Saccharomyces cerevisiae S288C: one gene and its partners. Changing the gene in region 1 together with any one later gene gives a genetic interaction. Each region holds a gene or a part of one and is shown in the gene's direction. Other genes may lie near its edges. The genes, in order: SAE2, HST3, SDD1 and SMT3.

Region 1 (8,343 bases):
CCTAATGGTCTTCACCCATTACACCCTCACCAGATGCCTTACCCTAATATGAATGGAATGTCTATTCCGCCACCAGCACCACATGGGTTTGGACAACCGATTTCCTTCCCACCTCCACCTCCTATGACAAATGTTTCAGATCAAGGAAGTCGTATTGTTGTCAATGAAAAGGAAAGCCAAGATTTGAAAAAATTCATTAATGGTAAACAGCACAGCAATGGTTCAACTATTGGGGGAGAAACAAAGAACAGTAGGAAAGGCGAGATTAAACCTTCTTCTGGCACAAACTCTACTGAATGTCAATCGCCAAAGTCACAAAGCAATGCTGCTGACCGTGATAATAAAAAAGACGAATCTACTTAGAACATACGACTAAAAACGAAGTATATTCGAGGTTACTTTAATAGTATATCTGAGACCTATATAAAGAGGGGTATTTGTATTTAATCGTTGATCTTGTTAAGAAAAAGCTTATAACAAATGGGGATTGTCAAAGGGTATTTTTTACACAAAGCTTTCCGCATAGTTATATATTATCTCATTTTCAATAATCCTCCTGTAGGGTGTAGCTTTGCACTTTCTTCTCATTGATCTCATTTTGCTTAGCAAACCATTTTTCTTCAAAGCCATTTGATCTGTGGACACCGTCCCATCTTGACCCAGGCATAATGGCAAACCTGTTCTCAGGTGCTGGCTTATCATAAAGCTTGCGGCCCAGTAAAGATGTTTTTACAGTTCTTTCTTTGTCATGTGTAAATGTTATTGCAGGGTCTTCTATCGTCAGACTCGAGGCAGTTTGATTTTTCTTCTTATCATGTGCATCTACATTTATTCCAAGCTTTTGCACGTCTCCCATATTCAAATTTTTCAGGTATTGCTCTCTTTCCGCGGCTTTCTCATCTTCATATTTAGATCGACTAAAACTAGAATCGTCTATCTTGGAATCTTCCTGAATCTTGTGACCTTGAGCGTCTCTGTATATGGTTTTTCGTGTTTTCGATTTGTCTGCTACTGTGACAAGTGGCTCTTGAGCCCTGATTTCCTTTAGATCGTTCTTGCTTTCGTTGCCAGTAATTGACGATGCGGAAGGATGTGTTATTGCATGGGAAAGCTCGTTTGTTTCCAGGTTCTTCCATATATTCTTGCTTTTTTGTTTGTCAAACTTGCTGAATGAAGCAACTCCTGACTTCTCCTGTTCTTGTTGCAGTGTACTTAGCCGTTCTTTTACTATCAAAGAAGTTTTGTCTGAGTTAGCGTCTGATTTTGACTCTTTCTTCTTCTTTTTCGTCTTATTTTTGGGTTTCGTGGGCCCATAAGTCTCTGATAAATACTGATGCAATGCCATGTAATAAACGTCCTGTTGTTATCTTCCACCATTCGAGTCTTGAGAACAACTTTCAAAATCAAGTCAAATAGCCATTTTCTTTATGCCATTTTCTAAGCGCGTTCTACAAAAAAAAAGCTTTTAAGCTTTAATACCTTTTTTGTTTACGTTTGCAAACATTGTTATCGTTCACATACCTGCATTTCCATCCATGCTGTAAGCCATTAGGTGTTTGTATGTGAGATGGTGACTGGTGAAGAAAATGTGTATCTAAAGTCAAGCTTATCCATTCTCAAGGAGCTCAGTCTCGATGAACTACTAAATGTGCAGTATGACGTGACTACCTTAATCGCGAAACGTGTTCAAGCACTGCAAAATCGGAATAAATGTGTTCTCGAAGAACCTAACAGTAAACTGGCTGAAATTCTATGTCACGAAAAAAATGCTCCTCAACAATCCTCTCAGACGTCTGCGGGGCCAGGTGAGCAAGATTCTGAAGATTTCATCCTTACTCAGTTTGATGAGGACATAAAGAAAGAATCAGCAGAGGTTCACTATCGTAATGAAAATAAACACACTGTGCAGTTACCGCTGGTTACTATGCCACCTAATAGGCATAAACGGAAAATTTCGGAGTTTAGTTCGCCTTTAAATGGCCTCAACAACTTAAGCGATTTGGAAGATTGCTCTGATACTGTAATCCACGAAAAAGATAATGATAAAGAGAACAAAACAAGAAAACTATTGGGAATAGAGCTCGAGAACCCTGAATCTACATCGCCAAATTTATACAAAAATGTTAAGGATAATTTCCTGTTTGACTTCAATACGAACCCTTTAACAAAGCGAGCCTGGATTCTCGAAGACTTTAGACCAAATGAAGATATCGCCCCGGTTAAGAGAGGAAGAAGAAAATTGGAGCGATTTTATGCCCAAGTTGGAAAGCCAGAGGATTCTAAACACAGATCATTGTCAGTAGTTATAGAATCGCAAAATTCGGACTACGAATTTGCGTTTGATAACTTGAGGAATAGATCAAAATCCCCCCCAGGTTTTGGAAGACTGGATTTTCCCTCCACTCAGGAAGGGAACGAGGACAAAAAGAAATCCCAGGAAATCATCAGAAGAAAGACAAAATATAGGTTTTTAATGGCAAGCAATAACAAGATCCCACCGTACGAGAGAGAATATGTATTCAAAAGAGAACAATTAAATCAAATTGTTGACGATGGATGTTTCTTCTGGAGTGATAAATTATTGCAGATATATGCTAGATGTTAAACGCCAGCGATCATCATTCTTTATTCATTACTTCAAATACATTTTTTTTGGTATGGTTGAAAGGGCTTTTTTCCTCGTTGGCATATGGGAAAAACTGAAAAATAAAAAAAGGCAATGAGATGAACAACAATGGAAAACAAAAAAGGGCGAATAAATAAGCAGCAGTTGGTAAAGCAGAAAGGGGAAGTTAACGGACGTTAAACAAATGACACCTAACTTACCAGGGTTTTATTATGATAGAGAACGTCGACGTTATTTTCGCATATCTGAAAATCAAAGCATTTCTACCACGGGAACGACGAACCAGTACAGAAAAGATAATATAAAGCGACAATGTGTTGAGGAAAATTACGATAAAAAATTTTCTATGATTAAAAAAAAACGTCAGCAAACATTACAAAAGTACAAGCTTAGTCTTCTGAATCCGTTGGAAAGGGCTTTTCGCCCTTTATCATATGAAAAGTACATGATTGGTTTAAATATGCAGTATGCATCGCATTCTCTCACTGAAGGTCATCACTCACATAGTTCTGCTAACGTAAAATCACTCAATTTTCCACACAGGATACAGATAGGAGTATTAGCAAATTGTATTTTATTGGTAACTCAAGAAGGATGTTTTCATAGTAAATTAGTATTTGCAACAAACAAGGGCTATGTCGCAGGATTTTCATCCCTGGATAATTTTTCTGAAGAAAATTTCTTTACGGGGTTTTCCATGGCTGAATTAAATCCTATGTTGAAATATAAGTCCGAGCCAACTGATGTGTTCAAAACAATGAAACTTGAGAGAACAGTTGCCATCAAGGAAGGGCCGAGCCATTATTTTTATCACAACGTTAATACCAGATCTAACGTGCATACTTTTGCCATCTTTTTACAAGACTTTTCTTCCTTAAAACTGCTCAAAATTCGTCAGGTCAAACTCAAAGAAAATTGCCAAGTCCATGATTCTCTTGTTGTTGGAGACACGTTGATTATTACCGTAAATTATCGTTGTCATTTTTATGATTTGATTCCAGAAACCTTTCCAAATCCCTATATCTTTTCTCCTGCCAAAAGCTCAAGAAAACACAAAAGTAGGAGTGACATTACTTCCCTATCATTTTGTCTACAAGAAGATGCTTTATCACCTTTAAAAAAAACGAACACCGGTGTGTTTTATTTAGGTTACAGAAATGGTGATTCAATGGCAATAGTCTTCACTAATATTACAAACATGACATTACAGTACTCCAAGACCAACGGTATGACATCAGAAAGTCGAAATCAACCTATCAGAAATTCCCTAAAATCTGTTGTTTCCATAAAAGCATTGAATAATAAAGGCCTAATACTTATATCTGGAATGGCAGACAAAGAGAATGTGCAACAACTGGTTATAGCAGATACGTTCCTGGAGGACATTCTGACCGAAATCCCGGTTGTATCTTTTAAAACTAAGTTCTTAAACGTGACTAAGGATACAGAAATACTCGAGATATCGGATGACGGGCGCTACTTCATTTATGGTTCAACTAGCGCTAGGGACGGAAAGGGTGATTTTGAAGTATTTTGTACCACTTTATCTGGAAATCTTGACTACGAAAAATCCGAAGGTGGAAATATCACCCTCTATCCAATAGGAGGTATGAAGAACTACTGTAGGTTAGAAAACTTCCAGTTTGAATCTATCCACCTACATTCGGCTTTCATACCCCCAAGGTACGTAAATCCGTTTGATGCTGTGGAACCTCTAGGTGAAGAGAGCAGTACTTCACCTTACGATATACCTGAAGAAGCACTTTCTCAAAAAATATGCATCTTAATTCGGAGAGAAGATGATCCCTACAATGGGGCCAATATCTTCATAACATCTGCTTTGACCTAGTTTAGCCCACCGAGATTTTTGCTTTATAAATATTTTAGCATACTTTGCATTCATATACATATTCATATGTATAAATATTCTTTAAATTTTAACGCCGACTTCGAACTAATTAGCAGTCAAAACCCAAATGTAATGACCTTATGGTGTTATAGCATAATTCTTCTTGGTGTACAATTCCATTCTGAATAGTTCAACGATTTTAGATATAGTTAGATATGATATTATAATAAAATATACAAATATGTATCATTGTTAGTACAAGTTAAACCTAAATATAATAAAGCCAACCAAGACAGGAACCAGTAGAAAAATTTATACAAATGACAAAGAAAAACAAACGGTATTTTCCTATTTATTAAAAATGCTTGAGCGAATGGATATTTTAACACATTAGTGTCCTAAAGGACAATTGGATTTGAAAATAAAATGACAGTAATAGACAAAAAGAAAACTGAATGAATGAATGGACGTATGGATTGCTTAATGAATGAATGAATTAAATAATAGTTGGGCGTAAGTTCAGAAGATGAGGAATTTAAAACAAAAATAATCGTTGACAAAAAACGATTCAAAAAAAAATTAGATCATTTTGGTAGGGAGCAATGCTAACCCTGCAAAGGCAGTGGGAGGATTTTGGATACGTGTTCGGAAACAGAATACAAAATATAAAGATGGCAATAGTTTGCTTTACCATTTTTTTCCGGCTCAAATTTTGGGACTTTAGTAGGACGTCATTGCTTAGTTGAATTTTTTATTTTTTATTTTTTATTTTTCTTTTGTCTTTGATTTCTGCGTAAAATATTTGTACAGTAAGAAGGAAAGAAAAAGAAAGAAAAAAAAGTATTATGGCAAAGTGAATTGAAGTTCATCAGATGTTCTAGCGGTATTCATGGCAGGCATATTGGAAATACTAGCGTTGCGGCTCATATTAACTTGATTATATGGGCCTTGACCAATATGCTGCGACTTCATTGACAAACTTGAATCCCAGTTTGCACCTTCCGTTTGATATTGCATACGAGGCACAAAAGATTCATTGAAGTTTTGACTATTTGCATTAGAGTATGGCGAGAAGTGATTAGCATTAATTTTGTCGGTTTCATTCATCATAAATCCAGGCTGCTTAAATCCCCTTGAAACATTAGGATTCACATTGGTAATGTTAGATGATGAGAACGAATGGATTGGTGCAGCAGAATTAGGATGTGCCATTAAATTTGCAAACTGGCGGTTGTCGAAGTTTTGTAACGAGTTATGGCTTACCAATGGTGGGTTAGTTTGAGAATTGAAAGAAGGTGCTCCCATCGAGGGATATGCGTTTTGGTTGAAGTTCATAATTTGTTGCGGAGAGTGAATTTTCTGATCTTGTGCATATTGGTTTGAGAAATTATTGGTTACAGAGCTGTTACTTCTTCTATGGTAAGCATTAGCTGGTAAAGAAAAATGACGGGTATGACTCTTTTGATTATTATTGTTATTATTATTGTGAGCATGGTTATGATTATGATTATGATTATGATTATGACTATTTTTGTTATGGGGGTTCTTATTTTCGTTGTTAATCGTTTGAAGATTGTTATGACTCATTGCAGTGACTTGAGGAGATATGTCAGTGAATGGTATACCTGTGGCTTCTGCATAAGCTTTAACTTTCAACTTAATTTTCTTTGCATAGGATGTAGTTTTAATACTTGGAAGTAATTCTTTTGTAAGGACAATCAAGTTACCAATTTTCAATGAAAAATCGTTACAAAAGTTACCGTAATTCAATGTACTAGAGCTGTTTTGCCCAATTGCGTTACTATTTTTGTTGTAAGCAAGCAGAGGAGAATAATTCTTAACGTCTAATAGCGTTTGTAACGCATAATTACCAAAATTATCCCTGATTAGCACATTTAAATTGACTGTGAATATATCAATGGTAGTCAAAAGAATGTTCATAGAAGCATTAATCACGTCATCAGAAGCAACTGCAGTCCTTTGGGAGGCACCCCCATTGTTATTAACAATAAATCCAGTAATGATTCTAAATAATTTTTTAATGAATTTTTCCACAACATTTGAGGAGAACTTCAAACAAGATAGTTGACATAATTCATTGGATAAACGGTTAAATAACTCAGCCAATAAGTAAAAGTCCAATTCTTTGATATCTAACAGAAATTGGATGATATAATTACCGAACTGATCGTTGATTAATCCAGGAAGGAACTGCACAATTTTCACAGAAATTTTGAAAATTTGTTGTAGAGTACAAACGCTTAGTAATTTTTGTAGTACGCAACAACCATGTTTATGGGTAGAAATGGTAATGATATTATTTTGTTCTACAATAGCATCTATGATGAAACCAAATTTTGATGGCGAGAATTTGAAAATACACTTTTGAATCACATGGTTACCATTAAGATCGTTTATCAAAGTAACCACTTGCTCAATCGAAGTAAATTCTTGGGAAAATCCCTTAATAATGAGATCGATTTGAACTTCGTTATCGACAGTGTCTATAATTTTCTGTAAGGAACGAGTTCCGTACTGATTGATTGATATTTGGAAAACATTTGGATATATTGTTTGTATTAATAATGTCTTTTGCTCGGCAGTTAAATAATCGCATAGTTTTTGAACCAAATAGTTACCGAACGGATCCAAAATAAGGTCCAAGAAAAATGGCTTAATTTGTTCATACATCAAGTCTCTCACCATATTGGATTCACTGGGGGTTTCTAATTTTTTTTGAAGAAAACGGCAGCCAAACTGGTCAGTGGCAAGTTTGATATAATCCAGATCTCTAAGGGGTAGTGCGCTGATTTCGACCATAGATGAAGACGTTGAGCTACTCAAACCAAATGACGAATTATCCACTCCACATTTGGAAGCAGCATTATTACTATTGCTAAAATTTCTGAGAGATGCAGCAGGAGTCACTGAAGAGGATGGTGTTTCCATAATTAAACTGGAGGTATTGACACCAGAGTTCGAAGGAGCAACAACCGTGAAATCGTGGCTTGATTTTCTCCTGGGACCATCCATTTCCAGATCAAACTCATTGATTAATGGTAGAATGGCTGGAGGATTTGCCATTGAGGCTGAAAGCCCAGTGGAGTTGCTAGCAGCATTAGGATTCGGGGAAAAAGAGTTAGCAGAATTCGATGTTGATGTATTATTCATCAAAGCCAAGGGAGATTGTGTCGATGATATGAACTGATTAAAACCAGAGAGATCAAGCGAATGAGCCTTTTGATGGTTTCTTTTGTTATTCATCTGGCCCAAAGGCGGAGGGGTCACGGGCTCCAAGAGTGATTGGACGGAGTTAATAGATAGTTGAGGCTGATGATTGTAAGACATTAAGGAGTTATTTGATGTAGACGTAGTTAAAATCGATGCTGAGTCGGCAGATGGAAATGGTTCGTTATTGATCTGATTGAATAAAAGAATGTTGTGTTAGTAAAGTGAAACCACAAAAATAAGGCGTGTGCAGAGCCGATTTTGGAGTATAAGCCTAGGATCAATTTCGATAACTGAGAAAGAGAACAATCACAACCATGTACAGTGTCCAGGTGGCCTGAGATGCGTGAGAATCAAGAGTAAATCTATCTATAAAGTTCGACTTCAATGGCGACAGAGGATGGCAAAAAAAGAGGACAGGAAAAGAGGAAGACAAAACACAAAATTTATGCTTGATTTTAGAATGAAACCTATAACCATAAAGAGTAAAATCCTTATAACTCTCAACGAATCTGCATAAATTTTTCATAGATCTTCGAATCTTTTCTTTTTTTTTTTTTTTTTGCTCATTTTTGCCTGAGGCGCCTCTTTCCCGAAGCCCTTCTTTCGAGAAAATCCTTATAGGCATATTCGAGAAATA
Region 2 (8,637 bases), on another chromosome or scaffold:
TAAAAGGTATTTTCTTTACGGAAAGCCTTCGAGCAATCCAGGAGAAAGTGGACCTTTTTTTCCCAATGAAGAGATCATAGGAGTATGGATTGAAAATATAATAGAACTTCGGGTAACGAGGTGTAATTTCACAGTCCATAATACAGAGCTAACGGTTTAAGGGTAAATAGTTATCTAAGTCAAGTTTTGAAGGAACAAGTAAGAAAGGTCGCTACTGTTTCTAAACATAAGATATACAAAAATAAATATAGCTATCTCAATGGGTGCTGCATACAAAGTATTTGGGAAGACGGTTCAACCTCACGTATTGGCTATATCTACGTTTATCGCTACTGCTGCAGTGGCATCTTACTTTACCACGAAACCAAAAACCAAAAATGAAGGCAAGAATAGTTCTGCCTTGAGCCAACAAAAAAGCGGTGAAAGTTCAAACTCAGATGCTATGGGAAAGGACGATGATGTCGTAAAGAGTATTGAAGGATTTTTAAATGATTTAGAGAAAGATACGAGGCAGGATACGAAAGCCAACTGATTATGTATAAAAATTTCTGAAATGGTGGTGTTCTTCATCGTTCAGTGAAGGGATGCACTGATTTCTATAAACTTGAAGCACTTTTTGAAACTACTGTTCTATAACGAAAATTAGCGTCCTTCTTTCTATTAAGTATGCATTATACATATAATTCAATATATTCTGAATAGCAAAACGGCAATGAAAAAAAAAAAACACTGAAAATACTTGCCTTAGGCCATTGTGCATGATACGAATATGCACAAAACTTGCCTCTTTTTACTTTACGGATCAATGACAACACTCAGGTGTAAGTGATAGTTGATGGCCTTTCAATATTTGAAAGGCTGGAAGATAATTATAAAAAATCGAACTAATTGCCTATGATTGTTTCATTACTGAGACTATTTTTTCACCTCAAGGGGGTCGTCTGAATTAGCAAAGCCATGGCAACTAGTGCAGTGCTTGAAGTCACCAGCTCGTTTGGTTTTAGATGCAAGTAATGTAAAGAAATTAATTTAAATAAAATAATAAAAGTTTCTACTTTTTTTTTCAATTAAAAAGCATAATACAACCAATCAATTTTATCCTATTTGGCCTGACAATGATGATATCATAAAAGTAAACGGTTCCTTGTTTTTATTTTTCTTGCATGCACTTTTCAGAAGTCTTGGTAGCGCTACTAACGCAAAATACGAAATATTCATTGGCTAATAAACTTGATTTTTTCATTGAATGTCGTTTTTGAACTATATACAATATAATTAATGCTACGACCCTAAACTTTTCAACTAACTCTTTGACAAGGAAGCATCATCACTTATTACAACCATAGAATGTTACTTAAAGGACTGTTCTCATCTACATCAACAGATCGTCCAAACTTTGAGCAGAATCCTTCTTGATCAAATCCAACATCCCTTCAGGCAAAATAGGTTTACCTTCTTTATCTAAAACGTATCTAAATGGCATTTCCGTGGCCTCATTTTTATTGAACCTAAATTCAGGGTAGTCAATGAACTTGATGTCTTCAAATGCAATCCTGTCTTTGATAATCAACTGTGTTGTTCTTATGGCAGTATCCGTAGTCATTTGTTTATCACCTAGTCTTCTGCTAATTAAAAGATTCGGATAGGCAGTCTTTAGTTCTTTGGTACGATCTCTTGGAGGATGATCACCCAATATGCCACCAAATACGAAATAGTCGAATTTCGTAGCATCCTCCGGCTGTAAATCGATTGTAGCCCTAGGGTCCAATAGACAGACTCTGCCATCTTTTAACAGTTCCAAATCCTTGAAATCTTCGTTAATGCCCTTCAAATCCTTTGTAGTCCATCTTAAACCAAGTTTTAGTAGCCTTTGAGGGATGTCCTTTTCCGTGGTACTCTCTGGTAACGATGATAAAATCAAGTTTTCAGCTCCTACTTCTCTCAGGATTTGGCTATACTCTAAAATGACCCATTCACTAAACCCTTCCTCCATATGCTCAATAATGTACTTCATCGTATATCTAGAAATAATCTCCACAGCTGTATCAATCTATATTAACAATAGATATGCCCCTCAACATCTAATAAGCAAAGGGCATTGCTCTTTTACAATACTCGATGAGCTTACCGAAAATTTCTAATCCAAAATAACGGAAAAAATTGAAAAGGTGTCAATCCTGTTACCCGCAAGTTGAAGTACGGAAAGAATACAACCTTACACAGTGGAACTATAATAGACAGTAAAGAAAAAAGTTAAAAAAAACTTGTGCCTTGCGTTTACTGATCAACCAGTCTTTCTTTTTACATATATTTCTGATGCATTTTCATGTTTACTTAAAATTTCTTTTAGGATAAACGCTGCAATATCCGGTTCTTCGAAATAAGAAACATGTGATTTTATAGCTGATATAAAATCCACTTCTAGCAGACTTGGAGACATAGCATAATCTAGACGTCCGGTGTAATTCAAACCTGTAAGCATTCTCGTAAGATTTTCTGATAACTTGACCTCTTTTTTTTCTGGAGAAGTTTTTTTGGACTGCAAATTATTTTCATCAGTACCTGGCAAATCTTTCCATATGTTTTCGCCAAATTCCAAAACTTTAGAAGTTAGTCCATAAGCTTCACTACAATGTGGTAAATAAGTTTGTTCGTAATGAGCCATTTCTTTACTAACAAGAGGTTCCATCCTATAAGAAATGGGATCACAGACGTGGTAAACATTATAAATGTCCTTACATTGCGGTCTCTGTACGGTTAATTTTCTCTCCAAGTCATTGGGAAATTCGGGACGGTCACCAATTTTTGTTCTTTGAATTAACTTTAACAATCCAATTGGTGAGCCAATAAAGAACAGGTTGTCTACTTGAAATTCTAATTCATATTTTTTTTGTTTGGATAGAATATCAAATAATATCATACTACCCAACGAATGGCCCACTAAATGGACTTTCCCATCAAACTCTGGATTAAATTCTTTAAAAATCCGATATGTTTTGTTCAATTGAGAGGTTACTTGTTGTAGAATCATATCTTGGTAGTATGGTTCGACATACAACAAAATATCTAGTAGACCGTCAGCCAGTAGCTTCCTCAAGGGTAACACTCCATTTACTGTGACTTGTGACAAAGTCGGTAGGTCAGGATTTTCTATATTTTCCTCCTTAGCATCCGTTTGGAAACTTATCGAGTGCCTCCAGGTGATGGGTAGCACTTGAACGTTACAGTTGCTTTTATAATCAGGTGCTGTGTTTAATGATTGTAGTTTCTCAGAATTATTGTAGATTTTTTTCATATTAGACCTAAGTAGATTTACCGTGTGTGCGAAATTTACGTATTCGTACTTCTTACCCAAAGTCTGACCTATACCGTGAACGCATAGTATCAAGTTATCCACATCTCTTCTGTTACTTCTAATTTGTCTATCGCTTGCGCCCGAATTTTTGCCATCTTCTATTTTGCTACTAGCATTAGCGCCTTGACTGTTATCTGCATTGTTATAGTCTGTTTCCATTTGCTTTTCCAAGCTCTGTGCATCATCTTGATCTTTACTAGCATTACCATTGAACAACTGTAAAAAGTCCGATAAATTGAAGAGGTTTGAAACTTTCTTTTCTAACTTTGTTTCAATGCTCCTCGATTTGGAACTGTTACTACCATCTGCTACTTCCGTTTGAGGCGTTTTTGCTGCCTTAAAAGATGTGGATGTCTGTTTAGTAGTTGCGGAGGATGAATATTTGTATGATCTTGTAATCATTGTAGCATTAATCGGTAAGGATTGAGCCAGATTAGACCTTAGAAAGGCTAATTGCAGTTTTCCTCCATCTAAATCCGATAGTAAAAATGCAGTTTGTTTATTGGCAAACAAAATAAACTTGAAAGTAGATTCGTTCTCATCTTTATTGCTGGATCCATTTTTTTGCTCTCCTTCGTTTTCTTTATCGACTGGGTATTTACCTTTGAGCCTAAATATATCTTGCGATTCTGCAGGAGGTGTCGTGGTCGGATCATCATTACTGTCGTCGAATTTGAGCTGCTTATACAACCCTTCAATTTCGGAGGTAAGATCACTGGACAAAGGTTGATTTGAAGAGTCGAACCACACACCTCTTCGTACTTGATAAGTAGGGCCTTCCCAATAGGTAGGGGACAATTCCATGTGAGAGAGGTCGACTTTAAACAGGTAATCTTCGTTGACTAAAACAGGCCTGCGTTCTTGACGCTTACTGGCCTTTTCCAAACGATTAGAATCATCAACGGAGAACGGCTTAAACTTTTTGGGTGAGTGTAAAGTTTGATATGTGGGTAAATAGGGTTTGGAGTTGGGTACGTCTATGGCATAGAACCATGGTACATAAATGTGATTTAACCTTACGAAAATGTTTCTAAAACGAGTGCTGGAGGGAAGGCCTCGATGAGTAAACCGTAGCATTTCAAGTAATTGTTCACTGTGAGTATATTCAGTGATCTTCAATATTAGGGAATATGCAAAAAAATACAATCCACTTTTTCTTCCAAAGCGACAAATTAGGTCAGAAAACCAACAGAATATTATATTACGTAATTTACTTATTTATATGTGTGTACTATGTATGAGAACCACGCAGTCTTGATTTCGACCTTAGATTGTAATAAGATGATGATTTTGCTGCAGGATCAGGACCCTCAAGTTCATTAGTCAAAAGGGCCGCTTTTCTTGGTTTCTTGTCAGTGGGATTTGCTCTCAACCTTTCTCTTAAAGGTAAATCTTCCATGGGAGTAGAGCTATTCAAGCTCAGTTTTCTCTTACGCAGCAATTTTCTTTGTAAGGAGGAGGATAGCACTGGCGGAGAGGGTGGGTCCGTAGTCGTTGTTGTTGTAGCCGTTGCTGAGAGAGACGGTGATGGGACGTAAGAAGCTTCGTCATCAGATTTGGAAGATTCCTCTTCTTGCTCCTTTTGATATCTTAATTGAATTTCACGTTGCTTCAAATATTCATTCAAATCATCCGGAGTTTCATTAACCATGTCAATCAGTTTTTTGAAGTCTTCTTTATTTTGGTATAGTTTTTCTAAATGAGGAGTGTTCTTGACAGTCTTTGGAGCCCGCGTATGGTTCTCGGAGTGGTTGATTGGTGATTGTGGTTTTGGGATTGCAATGTCAGAGGGTAGGTAGTCTTTGTTTGGGTCCAAATTTAGTTTCTTGAACTTAGATAAAATTTCCGGATCCTGCTTATCATTAGGAAGTAGTTTTTGGTTGTTTAAAACTGCCAATGGTTGGCTTGAATATAGTTTAGAATGTTTTAGTCGAGTATGGTTCACGATACCTTGCGCGGAAGTGAAACCGGAACGGTCACATTTGGAGCACGTAATTATAACCAAAATGCCGTCATATCTTCTAAAAATGGGCTCATTATTTTCAGTCTTACCGATGATACCGCTATTGCTCGTCAAACAAGTGCTACTGTAATTACGTCTGTGGTTAAGATGCATCTGACTTGGTTTAAAAGGGAGTATCTGGAACCCCGGCTGCTCGTCTAAGGGGGAGATTGAGGAGGAACGAGGTGAAGAAATGCCATCCGAATTAGAGTGAGGAAGCGAGACGGGAGTGGGCTTGGTTATGGCTTCTGATAGAGATTTAGAACCTGTTAGCCTGTAATCAATTATATTCGAATTTGCCGGACGGAGGGCAGAAGGTTCTAGCAAAAGCCCGTTACTCTTGCTTCTAGTATGATAATGGTGGTGTGGTATGCGTGTTGTTGACAGATTTCTGTTGCTGCTCGAAGACAAAGGCTGACAGTTGATGTTATAATCCGATAGAACCGGGTATGACAGGTTATAATTTGATGCGTTCGTATTTTCCGTAGCCGTACTGTCGTGAAAGTGGCCGCCGAGCACGCTATGCTGCTGATGTTGTTTTATTTTGAGTTGATACGTCCGTTCGATTTTGTTCAATAGACCAGTATCCTTATGCAGGGTTTCCAAGAGAGCTAGTTTTGCGTTAACCTTTTGAACATTTCTTCGTAAGTGCCTAACATGCTTGTGGTTTAGCATTATATGTAGGTTCAAAACATTCTGTATTTCCCCTTTGGCACATTCGTACTTCAACCGCTGGGTATTTTCGCTATCCTTGTCCGGATTACTGGTGGCGGTGTCCATTTTGAAGGGCTCATCCATGTTGTTTTCCAAATCCTGAGGAGACTTTGGCGTGGTAACCTGATAAACGTTCGTCATCTTAGAGGATGACGATGAGGAAGAATTAGGATTATGATGCTGGTGCTGCAGTTTATCTTGGGCGGGACTCATCATGAGGAGATGGACATATACACAAAGTGTTGGATGAGAAGCGTGAGCCCGAAGAGTAGTGAAATGCCGAAGATCAGGGTGTTTATATGAACGAACACTAGCTTACAAATGTGGAAACGGGATCCTTCAGAGGTAAAATGCGCCTTCAGTGGCCAAAGTTCATCACCTTCCTTAGCACGGGTTCTTGCTGTCTGCTCTTCCTGCTTCTTCCCTGTTCGTTTTTCCCTCTTCCTACGGCTATGCACAGTGGCAAATGCACTGCATGTGTTTCTGTGGCGGGTATCCCTCAATTGCGGGTAACAATAAGTAACTCAACATCACGAACGACGTTTATGTTTGCTGTTACCACAAAGGGTAAAACGTCAATAAAAGCAAGCAATGTTATTCGTGCCAGAGAACTATATCTGGCGTACGTCTTATATATAACACAAGCAAGGGCAAATACGTGGTTAGTGGTGTAAAAACTGAAGGGATTAATTTACATACAACTAGATCCATCTTTCTCAAAAATGACTTCAGTATCGCCCTCGCCACCTGCCAGTCGATCGGGCTCAATGTGCTCCGACTTACCGTCCTCTTTGCAGACTGAGAAACTGGCACATATTATAGGTCTTGATGCCGACGATGAAGTTCTCCGGCGCGTAACCAAGCAGTTGAGCAGATCTAGGAGAATTGCTTGTCTGACTGGGGCAGGCATTTCGTGCAACGCGGGCATTCCTGACTTTCGCTCTTCTGATGGGCTCTACGACCTAGTGAAAAAGGATTGTTCACAGTATTGGTCTATCAAGTCCGGCAGGGAAATGTTTGATATTTCGCTATTTAGAGATGACTTCAAAATATCCATTTTTGCTAAATTTATGGAGAGGCTCTATTCAAATGTTCAATTGGCAAAGCCGACTAAGACGCACAAGTTCATTGCGCATCTAAAAGATAGGAACAAACTGCTGCGCTGTTACACGCAAAACATCGATGGGCTCGAAGAAAGCATAGGACTTACTTTATCAAATAGGAAATTACCGCTTACCTCATTTAGTTCACATTGGAAAAATCTGGATGTCGTTCAGTTGCACGGCGACCTGAAAACTCTTTCGTGTACAAAGTGCTTCCAGACTTTTCCCTGGAGCAGGTACTGGTCTCGTTGTCTAAGAAGAGGTGAGTTACCATTGTGTCCGGATTGCGAAGCACTTATCAACAAGAGATTGAATGAAGGAAAGCGAACTCTTGGTTCTAATGTGGGTATTCTAAGACCTAATATCGTCCTGTATGGTGAAAACCATCCATCCTGTGAAATTATTACGCAAGGCCTAAATCTTGACATAATTAAAGGCAATCCTGATTTTTTGATCATCATGGGTACAAGTTTGAAAGTTGATGGTGTGAAACAACTGGTAAAAAAATTAAGTAAGAAAATTCACGATCGTGGCGGCCTGATCATTCTCGTAAACAAGACACCCATTGGCGAATCCTCTTGGCACGGCATTATAGACTACCAAATCCACTCAGATTGTGATAATTGGGTCACATTTCTTGAATCCCAAATACCAGATTTCTTCAAGACGCAAGATCAAATTAAGAAGTTAAGACAGTTAAAAAGGGAGGCGAGCGACTTGAGAAAGCAAATGAAGGCCCAAAAAGACTCAATCGGAACCCCCCCAACAACCCCTCTACGAACTGCCCAGGGGATTGATATTCAAGGAAACAACGAATTGAATACAAAAATAAAGTCGTTAAACACAGTTAAGAGAAAAATACTGTCACCAGAAAACTCCAGTGAGGAAGACGAAGAGGAAAACTTGGATACAAGAAAACGCGCTAAGATACGACCAACTTTCGGTGACAACCAAGCCTCATAAACTTAACTATTAAAATTGAGTTAACGATAAATAATCGAGGCAGACACCCCTTTGCATAATATATCATCCGTTTAATTTATCTTCCATTTATATACTCATACATATACCAACGGAGATCTGCATGTCCGAGAATACAAAAAATAGTGAACGAAAAAAATATCACATCGCGAAAGAAAAGCTATCTGATATCTGCAACACGAAAACACAACAGTCGCGGCATGCAGATAGTACAAATTGAGCAGGCCCCAAAAGACTACATAAGCGACATCAAAATAATCCCTTCCAAGTCACTGCTTTTGATTACGTCTTGGGATGGCTCTTTAACAGTCTACAAATTCGACATTCAAGCAAAGAATGTTGACCTTTTACAATCGCTACGATATAAACATCCGTTATTGTGCTGCAATTTCATCGACAATACCGATCTGCAAATATACGTGGGAACTGTACAGGGTGAAATTCTAAAAGTTGATTTGATAGGTAGTCCCAGCTTCCAAGCT
Region 3 (8,372 bases), on another chromosome or scaffold:
CAGGTGACACCGATTCTATTTCTGTGATCGAAGAACTTTGCGAATTTTCCAAACACGAGAATAACTCAATGGTAGGCATCACTGAAATCTTACTATCACTTTTAGCCCAAAAGAAGGCCTTACTCAGGAAATTGAGTTTAATAATCTGGCAGCAGTTTATTGAAGAAGTTGGTTTGGAAGAATTGCAAATTTTATTAGATATTTTAAAAGCGAGAGAAAACAAGCAAGGTTTTGCCCAGCTATTCGAAGGAGAAGAAGAATTTGAAGAAATTAAGGAAGAAAATGATGCCAGTGAAGACGAATCGAAAACTGGTAGTGAAAGTGAAAGTGAAAGTGAGAGTGATAGCGATGATGCTGATGAAAAAGATGAAGAAGACGAGGCAAATGAAGATATTTTGAATATTGATAAAGAGGCCACTAGCGCCTTAGTGAAGGCGTTAAATTTACCCGATAACATAGTTAATGATAAAGGGGAAGTTGACTTAGACCAACTCGAAGGGCTTTCTGACGACGGTGGAGACGATGAAGATGAGGAGTCTATGGATGATGAAAAAATGATGGAATTAGATGATCAGTTATCCGAAATTTTCAAACGTCGTAAGGAAGCATTATCAAGCATATCTACTGGAAACCAGAGGAAATTTGAGGTAAAACAATCTAGGGAAAACGTTATCTCGTTCAAGCATAGAGTTGTCGACATGTTAGCCGTTTACGTCAAATATTGTGAAAAATTGACTCTTGCTAATAAAAGTGAACATTCCAACAATTTAGGAGGCTCATTAAGCAAGCTCGTTTATTTTATTATCCCAATGCTGAAATGTGTCAATGAAACTCTTGATAGGCCACTTGCCGACAAAATTTCTAAATTGTTGAAGGGTAAAATATTCAAGATAAAAGTAACTGCATTCAAAGACATGAACAAAGACATCGAGCTTATGGATTTGTTGAAAAAAACACACAAGCTGATGCTGACTTCTAAGCCAGGTCAGCATGCTGCAGTGTTTTATTCAATGTGCTCAACCAGCTCACTGTTTTTGAGTAAGTTATACGTTGAAATCGGTGGTAACGACAAGCTTGACGAATTGATTGACTTGTATACTGCAACTACCAAAGAGTGGATGCAAAAAGGAAAATGTGGACCTAACATTTTTATTGATTTCATCAATTGGCTATCTTCAAAAAAGCAAACTGTAATGGATAAGGAATAATCTAAGTATATTTTATCACTCCTCAAAATCGGATTATGTATGTTGATCTTTGTTTAATTACGCCTTTTCGCCAAAGAAACAATAAAAAAACTATATATTAGCTTATTATATCCTTGTTCACCTTTGGTGGACCTCCCACGATGGGTAGACTATGGGAACACTTCCAAACTTGTAAAATATTTTCTTCTTCAGCACTTGCTACCAACCAAGGTATTTGAGGGTTCAAATCAAAATCATTCACTGAACTTCTGTGACCTGCGTGGACCATGATCAATTCAGGAACGCCGTCTTCCGCGTCATCAGGTGTTTGTTCTGCTCCAATTTGTTTCAAATCCCACATCATCAATCTATTGTCTGACCCGCTGGATACAACTACACCGTCAACATGGGTTGAAAATTCCAAATTGTTCACTGCATCTTCATGACCCGACATATGGTGTAATGGTTCCTTCATGTTTCTTAGATCATATAGATAAACATACGAGTCCATACCTGCGGCCGCAAGGAGGTTTGAGGAATGATGACTAAATGCTAATGTGTTGAAAGGTTGCGGGCATTTCACAGTATCGATCGTAGTATTGTTTGCCCTGACGTCATTTATTTTTAAGAGAGAATCTTCTGAAACAGTGCCGAATAGATCTTTATTGAAGTTGTGCCATTTATTATCATTAATAATATCAGAATGTAAATCATTCCAAGTTCGTACTGGTTTTGTAGGGTCACCGCCACTCCCCACTTCCCAGAGAGCGACTGTATGATCATCTGAGCCGGAAAGCAATCGCCCTTTGACCAAAGTGCTAAATGATAAAGCATAACCGTTATCCTTATGAAATTTTAGTGTTGACTGAAGACCTTCTGAGCGAGAATAGAGGAAAACTGTGCCTTGCCCATTTATTGTGGCGACAATATTAGGGTCTTGAGGCATATATCGGGCTCTAGTGATTTCTTCTTCGTGCTCATATTTAGCGGTAATCCTTATATTTGACCTAGGAGCAGGTAGAGAGGACTGATACTCCTCTCCTGCTTCTTCTTGTGGGTCTTCATTACTAAGAATTTCCTTTGGTAGATTAATTTCTGCGAATTTCAAATAGTTTTCTTCTTCACCAGAAGTGTGCGTACCGATGATTAATTCTTGTTTAATAAAGCCACCATCTAATTCTTGAACAGGAGTAGGGAGCCATTGGACGGTTAAAGATGGCCATGTTAAACGTGTCTCGCTAACAAAGTCATACATTAATGGAACATTGGATTTCCATAAATCGTACTCCTCGTCTACAGAAAGCGGTTTCTCTTGGTTTTCCATAGTTGATTGGTAATTTGCTATTTGGTGACTACTAGGCTAACCACAATTGATAGGAGAGATAAGAGAGGCAGAAGTATTAGAGGCATAGTAACGTCTTTCTAGTTATTCTCCATTATTATTTTCAAGGTTTGTCTTTGTCATGTCGACGAATGCCAGTGAAAACATCCGTACACCTCACAAATTGTTATTTTGAACAGAACAGACGAGCTACTCATCAAGTATCAAATAGACTGAACAAATGACCTAATCTTTCTAGATTACTCCAAAAGAAAAAGCTGAAAGGAAACCGGTTAAAAACATGAAAGCTTTCTGTAGGGAAGTTTTTTCCTCGCTCTGCTCCTGAGCCTACAGGAGCATGGAAATGGTTGAAAGGACCGAGGAAGAAAGGGAGCATGTCAAATAGAACAAGAGGAAAAAAAAGGTGAAAACAGCTATTTTAAGCAGCAGAAGTTTGAGTCAGAAATGCCTACAATATATGAGAATTTCTTCGCACATGGTTTAAAAAAACTAAATAATCCGCGTGATAACGTTCTCACCAGATTATGAAATCAAATAACAATGCCCCACCTGTATATTGCGATTGACGTAAACGGTAATAAATGTAAAATTTAACATAAAAAAGGGTAAAGAAAACAAACTTTTTCAGGGGTCATCCCTTTTTGTTTTCTTTTTCATTCTTATAAATCAAGAGTATTTTATCGGTAGACAGTTTAGCCGCCGATTTTGTACCGCAGTCCAATATTAGTAAATGTTGGGCACCACTTTGAACATACCGACTCATTGAGACTGCAAGAGCAATTATTTTATATTCTTCTTGAGGCGCCGTTAAAGAGAGAATGAACACGACAATTATCTACAGCATGCAATCGTGGTCAGAATTCTAACTTTTTGTCTTATAAATGCGCACGTATTATTTTCATTTATGTATATATAGATAAATCAGAGCATTGAGTAGTAAAACTGAAGGCTCAAGAGTTCTGATACGCGATGAGAATTCGTGCAGTTAGGATGTCAATTTTGCCAAAATTGGGACGGGCGGCTGCCGTCCGGGGATTCCATGAAGAGAGTGGAAAAAAAAGTGTCACTAACTTCCCACAGGTATCCCCGACACCCTATCCTGCGCTAAGAAAGCCAATCGGCTGAATGTGCAATTGATTGACGTTGAAGGAAAAGAAAAAAAGGAGAAAATTGGGGCGATAATAACAATCACAAACGTCTTCCACTTTTTATCAAATGTTGCGGGAAGAAATAAGGGTAAAATGCCTTGTGTAGGTTCATACATATATAAATAAGTAAGGAAGTTAAAAGAAACCCTTCAAAATGTAACCTACATCATGCGTAGGCTTAATATTAAGCGGAGAAAATCGGCAAGCCCAAGCTTATATTCATATTATGGAATACAAAAGGCGAAAAAGAAAATTGACTAGTAACTAAATTGAAAATTAAATGGCAAATGATGGGATTCAGAGGAATGACAACAGAAAGGGTTTTAAAACTGTACAGTTCTCGGCTTATTCTAAAGAAATTGACGTCATAATGAAAAAAATATCATTCTTGGAAAGAAACATTACCCAACAACTAGATACTCTTCCTCATTTTCCAAAAACCTTACCACCAAATCACAAAGATTGTGTAAGTAGAAAGCACAGGGCCAGGCGAGGTTGGAGTAGTCAGCTGAAAAACTTGCTAGGCATTTACTCCAAAGAGGAAATTTTTACTCTGGATAATTTAGCTGCAACACTGCATGATCAAGTTTTAAAGTTACAAGCTACACTTTTTCCCAATGCCATACTGAAACAGGTTCATCTCGACAATGCCAACATAGAAAACAAGAGAATTCTGAAGGAAATTACATATAAATACCTTTCCAACGAAAACTGTAAAGAGGAGAACAAATTCGGAACATTCATCGTAAAGAGAATTTTTTTTGGTGACTTATCACTCGGGGTTTCCGTGTTAATCAACCGTATTGCTTTCGAATCGGCCACATCATCCATTATGGTAGTGAGAAGTTCATTTATTGAAAGTGATTTCTTTTATGAAGATTATTTGATTTTCGATTGCAGAGCGAAACGACGAAAAAAATTGAAGAGGAAAATTTTGTTTATTTCCACTACCATGAATTTCAATTACCAAACCAAAGTCTAAGCCTGTAACAAACGTTGATTGATACCAATATTTTTTCTCTTTCATTTATCTCTCTGTATATCTAAATAGCTATACTATACATCGAATAATGCTTTCAAGCAGATGCCTTAACGTGCTCCACCACTTCGTCACAAAATTGACCTAACTTAGAGGAGTCCTTACATTCCGCATAAACCCTCACCGCATCCTCCGTACCACTGGCTCTGACAAAGCTTCTTCCCATGGGATACTTGGCTACCACAAGATCTATCTTGTCTTGCAACCCCACTGGATTGAGCAATTTTCTTTCCTGGTCCGTGGTTTGGAAAATTGACCTATCAGGAACGATGCACTTAACCAGCTTGTTGGGCAAATCAGTATACTCTTCATCCCAATCCATTGGCGACATTTTCAAAATCGCCAAAGTAGCAAGGACAGCAAGCATGTCTGAAATAGCATCTCCCACGGTCTGATTAATCAATTCAGAGAAACACTTCAAAGTTCTCAAAGCTAACGTATCACCATTTAACTTGGACTTGGATAATTCAGATTTGATAGTTCGATGAAATTTTTCGCTGAATATAATCGTACCATGTCCATTTGCTTCGAAATAAATGCCAATATCGTACTGAGTGGCAGCTTCATGATGCAAGTGTTTAACACCTGTCTTAGTGCAAGACACGGGACAGTGCAACGTATTTTTTATGTAAGCGGTGGAACTGCCGTTTGCATAGGCAGTTTGCACAACACCAATCTTCAAAGAATGTTCTAGGTGTGCCAATTCTAGTTGTTTAGACAAGAACTTTGCAAACAAAGTGGAAATTTTGTCACCATCCAACAAATGAAATTTTGATCCTGAGTCGACATAGTAGAACACAACCCTGTCTGCGTCACCATCAAAGGAGCAATATAGCGAATCAAACGAGGATGGAGAAAGACCCTTGGGTAATCTCTGGTTAGTCTTCACATAATCCGCACCGCATTCAAAATTCAACAGTTCTGGAACATCGGACCTGTCGTTGATTACCTCAACTTGCTCCGCTGGCACGTCCCAATCTTCGGAGGCCAGTAGTTTTTTCAACTGTGGACCACCGATACCATTGGCTGTGTCTATGAACAATTTTGGGACAGACAGCCTCTTCTCCAGCTGATACGTGGCGAAGAGCTCGTTGAAGGCTCCTATAAAGAACGAATAGTAGTCCTGTTCTGTGGCAACTGGCGCTGTGTCTCCTTCCAGTTTCCGCCTGTTGGACAAATCAGTAATGTAATGCAATTGAGGCGTAGTGACACAGCCTAGGTCCAAAACTTGCGCGTGGAAGACGCTGGCCATGGAGGAAGTCAAGCAGCGCAGCAAGTATGGACTACTTTCCCTAGAGTCTCTCCCAACCACGATGTGAGGCACGACGGTTGTATTCAAATCAATCTTTTCGTGTTCAATCAGCTTGGCCAACTCAACACGAAATTCTTCAAAATTAGTGGCAAAAGAGGCCGCATTGGCCAACTGCATGGCATATGGCTCCCATGTGGCCAAAAGCATCGATCCGTCTGGTTCCACGATCTTGACCCCGTTGTCCTGGTATGGGTTGTGCGACGCCGTGATCATCACCCCCACATACTGACCCTGAAGCTTCAGCGACCTGAGAACCGCCAGTATACCAGTACTGAACATCACCGTATCCAAATTCTTGGCCAGCGTTCTGAATCCGGCCGTACCGTAACTGAACTGCACATTCTTTGTGCGGCACGTGTCATCGTAGAGTTTGCACAATTGCTCGTAATCAACCTTCATCGTCTCTAAGCTTACTGCTGACCTTTGCCTTGGTCCTTGTACTTGTCTCGATTGCTGAAACCATTAACGGTTTTTTGTTCTTACTTAATCTTTTTTTTCCCGACGACGCAAAATGTCAGAAAAGATATAAATAGAGCAACGTTTCCTGCTACATGAAACACGCTGGCATATAGAAGAACTTCAACGAGCGAGGCTCTCTGAACAATCTGCTAATCGTGCAAGTAAGGGTTCTCGTGACAGTTCACCGTGTATAAACAGATAAACAGATAAACAGTCAGATATGCTTAATTTTTAACTGTAGGCTGTGCCGACATGCCATTTTATGCGGCTCACTTCTAACAAAAGTGACCATGACGCACAAGCAAGCAAACAGCCAAGTAAGGAAGCAGACAGCTTCACAGCACACACACACCGTTGTGTACGAAAATCCTCTGCAGAAGAGTGTATATGCCACTCATCCACACTTCCGCAGCGCAGTACGTAATGCGGTATCGTGAAAGCGAAAAAAAAACTAACAGTAGATAAGACAGATAGACAGATAGAGATGGACGAGAAACAGGGGGGGAGAAAAGGGGAAAAGAGAAGGAAAGAAAGACTCATCTATCGCAGATAAGACAATCAACCCTCATGGCGCCTCCAACCACCATCCGCACTAGGGACCAAGCGCTCGCACCGTTAGCAACGCTTGACTCACAAACCAACTGCCGGCTGAAAGAGCTTGTGCAATGGGAGTGCCAATTCAAAGGAGCCGAATACGTCTGCTCGCCTTTTAAGAGGCTTTTTGAACACTGCATTGCACCCGACAAATCAGCCACTAACTACGAGGTCACGGACACATATACCAATAGTTAAAAATTACATATACTCTATATAGCACAGTAGTGTGATAAATAAAAAATTTTGCCAAGACTTTTTTAAACTGCACCCGACAGATCAGGTCTGTGCCTACTATGCACTTATGCCCGGGGTCCCGGGAGGAGAAAAAACGAGGGCTGGGAAATGTCCGTGGACTTTAAACGCTCCGGGTTAGCAGAGTAGCAGGGCTTTCGGCTTTGGAAATTTAGGTGACTTGTTGAAAAAGCAAAATTTGGGCTCAGTAATGCCACTGCAGTGGCTTATCACGCCAGGACTGCGGGAGTGGCGGGGGCAAACACACCCGCGATAAAGAGCGCGATGAATATAAAAGGGGGCCAATGTTACGTCCCGTTATATTGGAGTTCTTCCCATACAAACTTAAGAGTCCAATTAGCTTCATCGCCAATAAAAAAACAAACTAAACCTAATTCTAACAAGCAAAGATGAAGTTAGAAAATACTCTATTTACACTCGGTGCCCTAGGGAGCATCTCTGCTGCTTTGGTCATCCCAAATCTTGAAAATGCCGCCGACCACCACGAACTGATTAACAAGGAAGATCACCACGAGAGACCCAGAAAAGTGGAATTCACTAAGGACGATGATGAGGAGCCATCTGACTCTGAAGATAAAGAACATGGAAAGTTCCATAAGAAGGGCCGCAAGGGCCAAGACAAGGAGTCTCCGGAATTCAACGGTAAACGTGCAAGTGGCTCTCATGGGAGCGCCCACGAGGGAGGAAAGGGCATGAAGCCTAAGCATGAAAGTTCCAATGATGATGATAATGATGATAAGAAGAAGAAGCCTCACCATAAGGGTGGCTGCCACGAAAATAAGGTGGAGGAGAAGAAGATGAAAGGTAAGAAAGTCAAGGGCAAGAAGCACCACGAAAAGACGTTGGAGAAAGGGAGGCACCACAACAGGCTGGCTCCTCTCGTGTCCACTGCACAATTCAACCCAGACGCGATCTCCAAGATCATCCCCAACCGCTACATTATAGTCTTCAAGAGAGGTGCCCCTCAAGAAGAGATCGATTTCCACAAGGAAAACGTCCAGCAGGCACAACTTCAATCCGTAGAGAACTTATCTGC
Region 4 (7,737 bases), on another chromosome or scaffold:
TTCTAGAGGACAAACACATAGCCATTGTAAGCAAAAAAGCCAAGCAACAGAAAAGCCAAGTGCAGGGTCGACCAAAAACAAAGGATATGTATTAAATCCACCAATCAAATCACTGTATATAACCGCTAATTCACCACAAGCTTGAATAATACAGTAAACACAACTACCCATAATAGCATAACCAATGATCAAACCACCCGGACCTGCATTGTTCAAAACTTTGGAGTTACCGACCAGCAAACCAGTACCAATACCAGTCCCTAGGGACATCATCACCGTATGACGGGGCTTTATACTCTTTTTCAAATTTTCTTGTTTCTGTTCTTGTTCTTGTGGTGACTGTTTAATACCATCAACAGTGATGTATGAGCTCTTCCGATTCAACTCATTGTCCAATTGAGAGCTGGAATCTTTTGTGGATATAGGAGTAGTCCCATTAGAGTTGCTCGAGTCTGGGGAATTTGCATGCGAGCCTTCCGCTCTTCTAAACGAGTCAATGAACCTCCGTAAGTAAGATGCATGATGTTCACCTTCATATTCCATATTTTCAATGGTTTTTTCCACTGTTTTTTCAAAATATTCTACTTCATTTTCCGGTTCTATAGAGCCAATTTGTTTTTCCTTTGGTTGTATTTCCTTCATCTCGTAATGGGAAACATCGTCAAGGTCGTTACGATTCATATTCATATTAGAGCTTCCCTCATTATTCCGCCCATGGCGTCTATTACCAAGCGTCATAATGTGCAATATTTGATATTATATAAGCTACTTGAGAAAGCGATAGTTTTTTTTTCTTACACAAAAAAAAAAAAACATAAAGCACCTATAACTCTCAACTTTGAAGAAGCACGAAAGGAATATGTTTAAATCAACAGAAATGTGAAAAAAATCGGTTATATATACAGAATCCGATTCTTTCTAACATCAAAGAGGTGGGGGAAGAAGGGACTCAAAAAAGAAACGACACTGCACAACCCGAGCCAAACTGACATACGAACACTAAAACCGATTTCCGAAAAAAACTTCAAATTTACATTTCATTGTCCGTCTGCCATCGCATCATCGCCTTCATCTCTAAGAGTTGCCGTGCCTTTCCATCCGCTTTCTTTTCATGCGGCGTTATTCTTTTTTCCTATTTTTGATGGTCCCTGTGCCGTTTCTTTTTCATGTTCACCGGTTTTTGGCGCCGCATACCGTACGGCGGGGCACTTTTGAAACGTTTTTGTGCATCCTGATGCCGTTTTCAAGGATCGCAAGCACGTCGCATAATACGGTAATGCCGAATTAAGGCTACGTCGTCATAGTAGGTTAGTCATGCGCGTTGGAAAAAGAAATGACCAACGCGTTGATTACGTAGTCCCCAAGGAATAATGCTTTTGAAAGTGAAAAAAAAAAATAAAACTGAAAAAAGCCATGCTGTTTCCATCACGTGCATGTCACGTTTTTGCCGCCGAACTCTTTGATCATGTGATATGAATATGTTGGGTTACCCAGCTTTGCCAACACGCGCCGTCGGAAGGTGTTCAGGAAGCAGGAAAAGAGCAAAACACCAACAATCAAACAAACGAACACATTCTACTCTTTTAGTTGATTTTTCTTACCTTTTCCAAGCTCCCGTTTCTTGTTACCACCTGTAGCATATAGGACAGAAGGACCCAGTTCAGTTCTAGTTTTACAAATAAATACACGAGCGATGTCGGACTCAGAAGTCAATCAAGAAGCTAAGCCAGAGGTCAAGCCAGAAGTCAAGCCTGAGACTCACATCAATTTAAAGGTGTCCGATGGATCTTCAGAGATCTTCTTCAAGATCAAAAAGACCACTCCTTTAAGAAGGCTGATGGAAGCGTTCGCTAAAAGACAGGGTAAGGAAATGGACTCCTTAAGATTCTTGTACGACGGTATTAGAATTCAAGCTGATCAGACCCCTGAAGATTTGGACATGGAGGATAACGATATTATTGAGGCTCACAGAGAACAGATTGGTGGTGCTACGTATTAGGACTCTTAACAATGCCTAAAAAACGCCAACAAACCTCTCCCTTCCCCCCACCCACCAAAAAATACCATAGTAATGAAAAAACTAAATAATTCATATTATATAACATAGTATTAATATATGTTCGACAAGAATAGTTTTGTCCACGCCTCTTTCCCAGCTGATGCGGAGGAAGTGCTTTTCGCCATGTTATTAACCAGTACGCTAGCTTTTGTTCTTAATTAAAGAAAAAAAACTATCTCCGTTAAATGAGCAAGTATTAAAGAAGCATTCTTTCACGACGTGCCACAGAGAACTTCCCGTCTTCATTCACCATGAACAACAAGCTCATATATCGTTCGGTTAGATTTGCAACCCATAACAGCCAGCTTTTACTTCCACCTTTGGTTCTCTACAGAAGGATACTAAGGCAGCATAAGCTGCTACCTGGTCCCCAAAGGGAGATGGGTGACCAATACGTGCGAAACGAGTTCAAGTTGCACAAAGATATCGATAACCCGTTGCATATAGTCGGCTTTTTAGCTTCCTGGCAAGATTATCTCCACATGATTTCCAACGGTAAATGGAAAGATGCCACTTTATCTTCGGAAACCCTGGAGAAACTATCCCCTGAGCAAACAGTTCAACTGTATGAATTGATGAAGGAAACACAGAAACTTCACCAAGACAATGAAATAGAATCAAGTAAGGACGTGAAGCGGAACAACAAGGATTAGTGTTCGTCTTTTTATTGCGCTTGTAAATAAGAAATCCATATACTATATAGTACACATGCTAAAAAAAAAAAGCTAAAAATCTCACTTATTTGCAGTGGTCTCCCTCTCCTGCCATATAACCCCACTGGTATTTTCCAATGCCTTATTGTTGGAAACCTGATCTTTATACCATTCCTGCACTTTCACAGGGTCATTGCCGTGGATAATACAAAACTTGAATTTGGACACCTGCTTGTCACATGATGTAAAATCTCCATATCTGTAATAGCTTCTAAATTGCCCTCCAATCGAATAGCAACTCGTCAGTTGATCAAATGCCTCTCGGCAACTCATCGTTGTCGGATATTTTGTACTCATCCTTTCCTGTTTCTTCCTCAAGCTGCTCTCTTTTACCCTAATAGAACCATCGCCTCCCTCTTGATTTATGCTAATACCACATCCAATAGCAGAACTATTACTAAGATCCGATATTTCGGCCCCCTTCGCAAAGGGGCCCGCCGCACTTTCTTCATGAATTTTCATATAAAAAGTCCCAGGACGCCAAGAAAAGGTGCCCTCTTGATTAACGGACACTCCAACTACTGTTATATATTGTTTCATGGAGACCAATTTTTCCTTCGACTCGAATTTAATTGTTATTATCATTATCACGTTGTTTGCCACAAGAATTATTGCTAAAAGATTTTTATCTACTCCAAAAATGGTATCCCAGGAAACAGTTGCTCACGTAAAGGATCTGATTGGCCAAAAGGAAGTGTTTGTTGCAGCAAAGACATACTGCCCTTACTGTAAAGCTACTTTGTCTACCCTCTTCCAAGAATTGAACGTTCCCAAATCCAAGGCCCTTGTGTTGGAATTAGATGAAATGAGCAATGGCTCAGAGATTCAAGACGCTTTAGAAGAAATCTCGGGCCAAAAAACTGTACCTAACGTATACATCAATGGCAAGCACATTGGTGGTAACAGCGATTTGGAAACTTTGAAGAAAAATGGCAAGTTAGCTGAAATATTGAAGCCGGTATTTCAATAGTTTAAATTACGCTAATATCCCCTTCATAATATTTACATATATATATCTTTTATTATCTATATCTTAAATCACATATACCTACAAAACTTCTAGCTAGATTCACACAAGAGTACTTTTGAAGGCTGCGCGTGCATTTTGAAACCAATGAGACCCGCTAAATTCCGTCTGAGGTACAAGATCCCTCGGCTTCTTTCTTCCCTTATCATCAACTTTCGGTTTGCTATTATTGGCATTCATCACACTTAGCACGTACGACATTGGCAAAATTTTGGGTTCGTCCGCCTCACGCTTAAACCATTCTCTTATCCTATATCCCATTGTTTCTAAATCATCTGCCCCAATTTGCTTTCTAAAGTTATAATCTCCTAACTTCAGCATCAGGAGCAACGTGTAATATGCATCATTGCCTGCGTTATGTAAGAAGGCATGTGGCAAGTGAAAAAGCCTTAGTAGTTTACCTAAACTGCTACCCTTCTTGCCATAACACATGCTATAAATTTTCTCTGTGTCAAGCATCTTAACATGTTTTCTAACACCTTTGCTCTCCGTTGAGTCCTCCGGTTTGGTAAGTTCATTATCCAATTCAGGTACATGGACCCCAATTTTCTTCAGCCACTTAATATCCCCCGCTATAGCATGACCCACAAACGCTCTTTCCCAGGTTGTATCTTGGTCCGTCTCACATTTCATATAGAAATTAATCAACGACTGAATGAACTCTACACATTGTTCCAATGGTAATACAAGACTTTCTCCAAGTAAAAAGCAGTCTTTAAAGTCGCATACGAATTTCTTGTTTCTTAACGGTAACGCTTCAGCAACAATTAAATGATAACTTCTTATAATCGGCATCAAGGAATAAATGTTTTCTCTTGGATCATATATGGCGATGCCAATCTCTGTAACAATGTCTGTATCAAATTCAAATGCCTCTACATCGATGGCAAAACAAATTGTCTTGTTGGATGATAATAACTCAATAGTTTTACAGAGATACTTGAACTGAGACCCACCAGGTTCACAATTCATCACAGGTATATGTTCGTTTTTTACGTCCTGTACATCTGCTAAATATTGCTTTCTTAGATTTTTCTCCACATCGTCTTTAGATGCATCAGGTATACACCCGTTTTTCTCTATCCATTTCTTGTCAATTTCTTCCAGCTTCTTATCCAGTAATTCTGAACTTTTCTCATAGATGGACCGATAGTTTGTTTCCAATGCCTTTAAATATTTTTGGATTTCACTACTTAACGCAATGTTAGGGGTATATGCAATTTCGTGCAGAGAATTAAAATGTTCAAACTCATTTATCCATGTCTTTTGTCTTCCTAGTTTATTCATCAACTTGCTACTTGAACTCTTATACAGTCCCACGCCCCCTCTTCTTGAAGGGACCATACCCCTAACTCTAGCTGCATTGCGGGTTGCCAGACTCCTGTTTAAACCTTGTGGTTGATGGTAATTGCGGACTGCTTTGGAGTTGAATCTATGCGTAACCATTTTGACTACCGCTTCGTATGCTTTCTTGCACTTTGTGGAGCTACTCATACAATAGCTTATAATCTGTGTAGTCAAACTATATACTAGGCAAATTACTAGTAAATGCAGTATTCATATGTCCTCAAACCGTTTTTTGCAGTATGTTATTGATCCATCGAATCAAAATTTTTCACCGCCAAGAGAAAAAAGATCTTACTATTTTGTGCTTATGAAAAAATTAGTAAAAGTAAAGCTGGAAGCACATACAAGCGCAGCTGAATCACAAAGGAAAATTGGCACATCCTTGGTTGACACTTGTCTATTTATTAAAAGGTTTTAAAAAGTAGTGTTCAGCAGTTCTATCATATTTTTTTATTTAAAAAAAAATACTGAGAGGAAGCGTATTGTTAAGACACAATTTAGGGTGGCGTTAAATAAACGAGAGAGCCCAAAAATATAACCAAGATAAAGAAAATCAATCATAAAGTGAATTCAAAAATGTCATCGCAAAACCTCAATGATAATCCAAAAAATACATCCTCAGCAGCTGAAGATAAGAAGAAACAAACTTCATCCTTAAAGTTGGCACCAATACCAACCACATCGCCATGGAAATCATCTTCGCCAGATAGCAATACAGTAATTCCTGTAGAGGAACTAAGAGATATATCAAAGACTGCAAAGCCAAGTAAAAATGGTTCGGGGTCAATTAAATTAACAAGCAATACCAAATGGACTCCAATTACGCCGTCTGTTATAATCTCAGGTTCCAAGGACACAAATTCAAAGTCAGGAAAGAACTCTAAAAATTCTAAGACTAATAAAAAAATGAAAAAGCGTGGCAAATATAATAACGATATCAATAAAAAGGACTTTAACGGTCAAACCAACAGTACATCGGAAATAAGTAACGTTTCCAATCTTGAATCCAAACCTTTAGATGCTAACGCTAAAGTAAACATACATTCAAGCTCAGGAGCAACTGCCAATGGGAATATAAAGAGGATAACAAACAACAACAATTCAACCAACGGTAGACAATCAAGAAATTATCAAAACAGGAATGGCAAAACAAGATACAACAACAATAGTAGACACAGTCAGGCGGCTAATAATGCCATCTCCTTCCCAAATAATTATCAGGCTAGACCTGAATATATTCCCAATGCCAGCCACTGGTTGAACAACAATTCAAGAAATAGCTATAAACAACTGTCATACTTCCGTCAACAGCAGTATTATAATAACATCAACTATCAACAACAATTGCAAACACCATATTATTACTCAATGGAACCTATTTTTAAATCTATCGAAAGTATCAAAAACCAAATTGAATTCTATTTTAGTGAAGAGAACTTGAAAACAGATGAATTTTTAAGATCTAAATTCAAAAAAGCCAATGACGGATTTATCCCCATGAGTTTGATAGGGAAATTTTACCGTATGGTTAATTTATCTCTTGGTGGAGACCCAAATTTAATTTTGGCATCTATGAGAGAAGTTTTACAACATAAAGAAACAAACCATTTGGAAATTGCCCTTGGAAGCATAGAAGGTGCTCAGAAGAACATGGCAGATGATTTCAATCCATTGGAAAACTATTTTATTAGGCGCGAAAATTGGGCTGAATACGCTATGGAAAGTAATTTTGATGAAAATGATGACGAAACTGAAAAATACAACATTGAGAAACTATTGGGACCGAACGATTTAGACAATTATTCTTATATGGGCTATCCAAACTTCTTTCCCAGTAATGAAAATGGGAAAAAGAGTCAGAGCTATGACCAAGGTGAAATTAGCAGGCAGTTTGAACAAAACTTACAAATAAATGATTAATTTTAGACAATATTTTTTTTTTTTTTTTTATTATGTATATAGTTAACATGTATAAAGTAATAGCAGATTCTCTCTAAAAATATAACATAACATTTCATTTCAATTCGTACTAAATAATTTTTTATATAACAGATACATAAGATATTTATATAGAGGAAAACGAAAACAAACTAAAAATAAGCTGTTAAGAACAGATATGTTTTATGCCACCAGAGCACACAAAGCTGCGCCAACACCGGACCCATCTTTGGCTAGACGCAAATGTATCTTACGTTCACCCTCAGTGCCAATTGGACTTAATGCCAAAGCATGTCTCAGCATGGATCTGAATCCAGGATAGTATTCGATGACATAACCGTCAAAACCAATTTCTACCTCACCGTGATATCTTTTGTTCAAAGCGTTTGTCTTGATTAGGATGGCGGCAATCGGAACGGCTGCTAGATATGCAGACCTTCTCGTAATGGAACGGACCAGATTTTGAATTGCTTTACGTTCTTCAAAAGTGGTCGGTAGCCTCAAACTCTGCAAAAACGACAATTCAGTTTCACGCAAGTTTGTCGAATCATCGATTTCAATCCTGGAAAGAACTTCACTGCACAATTGGAAAGGAGTCTTTAAACGGTGAGGTAATTGATCGTAATTACGATACTGTCCCAAGATTAAGCCCC

The links.
Region 2: mutations in SAE2 (region 1) and HST3 together harm fitness more than expected from each alone (negative genetic interaction), as found in Saccharomyces cerevisiae (5 studies listed by BioGRID).
Region 3: mutations in SAE2 (region 1) and SDD1 together harm fitness more than expected from each alone (negative genetic interaction), as found in Saccharomyces cerevisiae (one large-scale study listed by BioGRID).
Region 4: mutations in SAE2 (region 1) and SMT3 together harm fitness more than expected from each alone (negative genetic interaction), as found in Saccharomyces cerevisiae (3 studies listed by BioGRID, with this or other methods).

What each region holds. Positions count from the first base shown.
Region 1 is NC_001139.9:167,547-175,889, reverse strand, and holds SAE2 (ssDNA endodeoxyribonuclease SAE2), read left to right. Parts: upstream 1-1,567; coding exon 1,568-2,605; downstream 2,606-8,343. Other genes in the region: chromatin-binding exonuclease XRN1, read left to right, coding at 1-363; BUD13 (Bud13p), read right to left, coding at 545-1,345; YGL176C (uncharacterized protein), read left to right, coding at 2,811-4,475; MPT5 (Mpt5p), read right to left, coding at 5,319-7,895. UniProt on the Saccharomyces cerevisiae protein: Endonuclease that cooperates with the MRX complex in processing meiotic and mitotic double-strand breaks by allowing the endonucleolytic removal of SPO11 from the break sites and ensuring both resection and intrachromosomal association of the broken ends.
Region 2 is NC_001147.6:371,426-380,062, forward strand, and holds HST3 (NAD-dependent histone deacetylase HST3), read left to right. Parts: upstream 1-6,793; coding exon 6,794-8,137; downstream 8,138-8,637. Other genes in the region: MCO10 (Mco10p), read left to right, coding at 260-532; protein-arginine N-methyltransferase SFM1, read right to left, coding at 1,373-2,014; DDL1 (putative carboxylic ester hydrolase), read right to left, coding at 2,285-4,432; AHC1 (Ahc1p), read right to left, coding at 4,587-6,287; BUB3 (Bub3p), read left to right, coding at 8,356-8,637. UniProt on the Saccharomyces cerevisiae protein: NAD-dependent histone deacetylase, which contributes together with HST4 to histone H3 'Lys-56' deacetylation, regulation of telomeric silencing, proper cell cycle progression, DNA damage control, DNA recombination, and genomic maintenance.
Region 3 is NC_001137.3:41,307-49,678, reverse strand, and holds SDD1 (Sdd1p), read left to right. Parts: upstream 1-3,957; coding exon 3,958-4,659; downstream 4,660-8,372. Other genes in the region: POL5 (DNA-directed DNA polymerase), read left to right, coding at 1-1,208; HAT2 (Hat2p), read right to left, coding at 1,306-2,511; phosphoacetylglucosamine mutase PCM1, read right to left, coding at 4,754-6,427; HHY1 (Hhy1p), read right to left, coding at 6,719-7,027; SOM1 (Som1p), read left to right, coding at 7,055-7,279; PRB1 (proteinase B), read left to right, coding at 7,726-8,372. UniProt on the Saccharomyces cerevisiae protein: Acts as an endogenous target of the ribosome quality control (RQC) pathway. During translation, the nascent chain has a propensity to stall ribosomes, thereby stimulating activation of the RQC pathway.
Region 4 is NC_001136.10:1,467,707-1,475,443, forward strand, and holds SMT3 (SUMO family protein SMT3), read left to right. Parts: upstream 1-1,693; coding exon 1,694-1,999; downstream 2,000-7,737. Other genes in the region: glutamine permease GNP1, read right to left, coding at 1-738; SDH7 (Sdh7p), read left to right, coding at 2,311-2,712; EMI1 (Emi1p), read right to left, coding at 2,794-3,357; dithiol glutaredoxin GRX2, read left to right, coding at 3,311-3,742; YDR514C (uncharacterized protein), read right to left, coding at 3,842-5,293; SLF1 (Slf1p), read left to right, coding at 5,723-7,066; EMI2 (putative glucokinase), read right to left, coding at 7,268-7,737. UniProt on the Saccharomyces cerevisiae protein: Not known; suppressor of MIF2 mutations.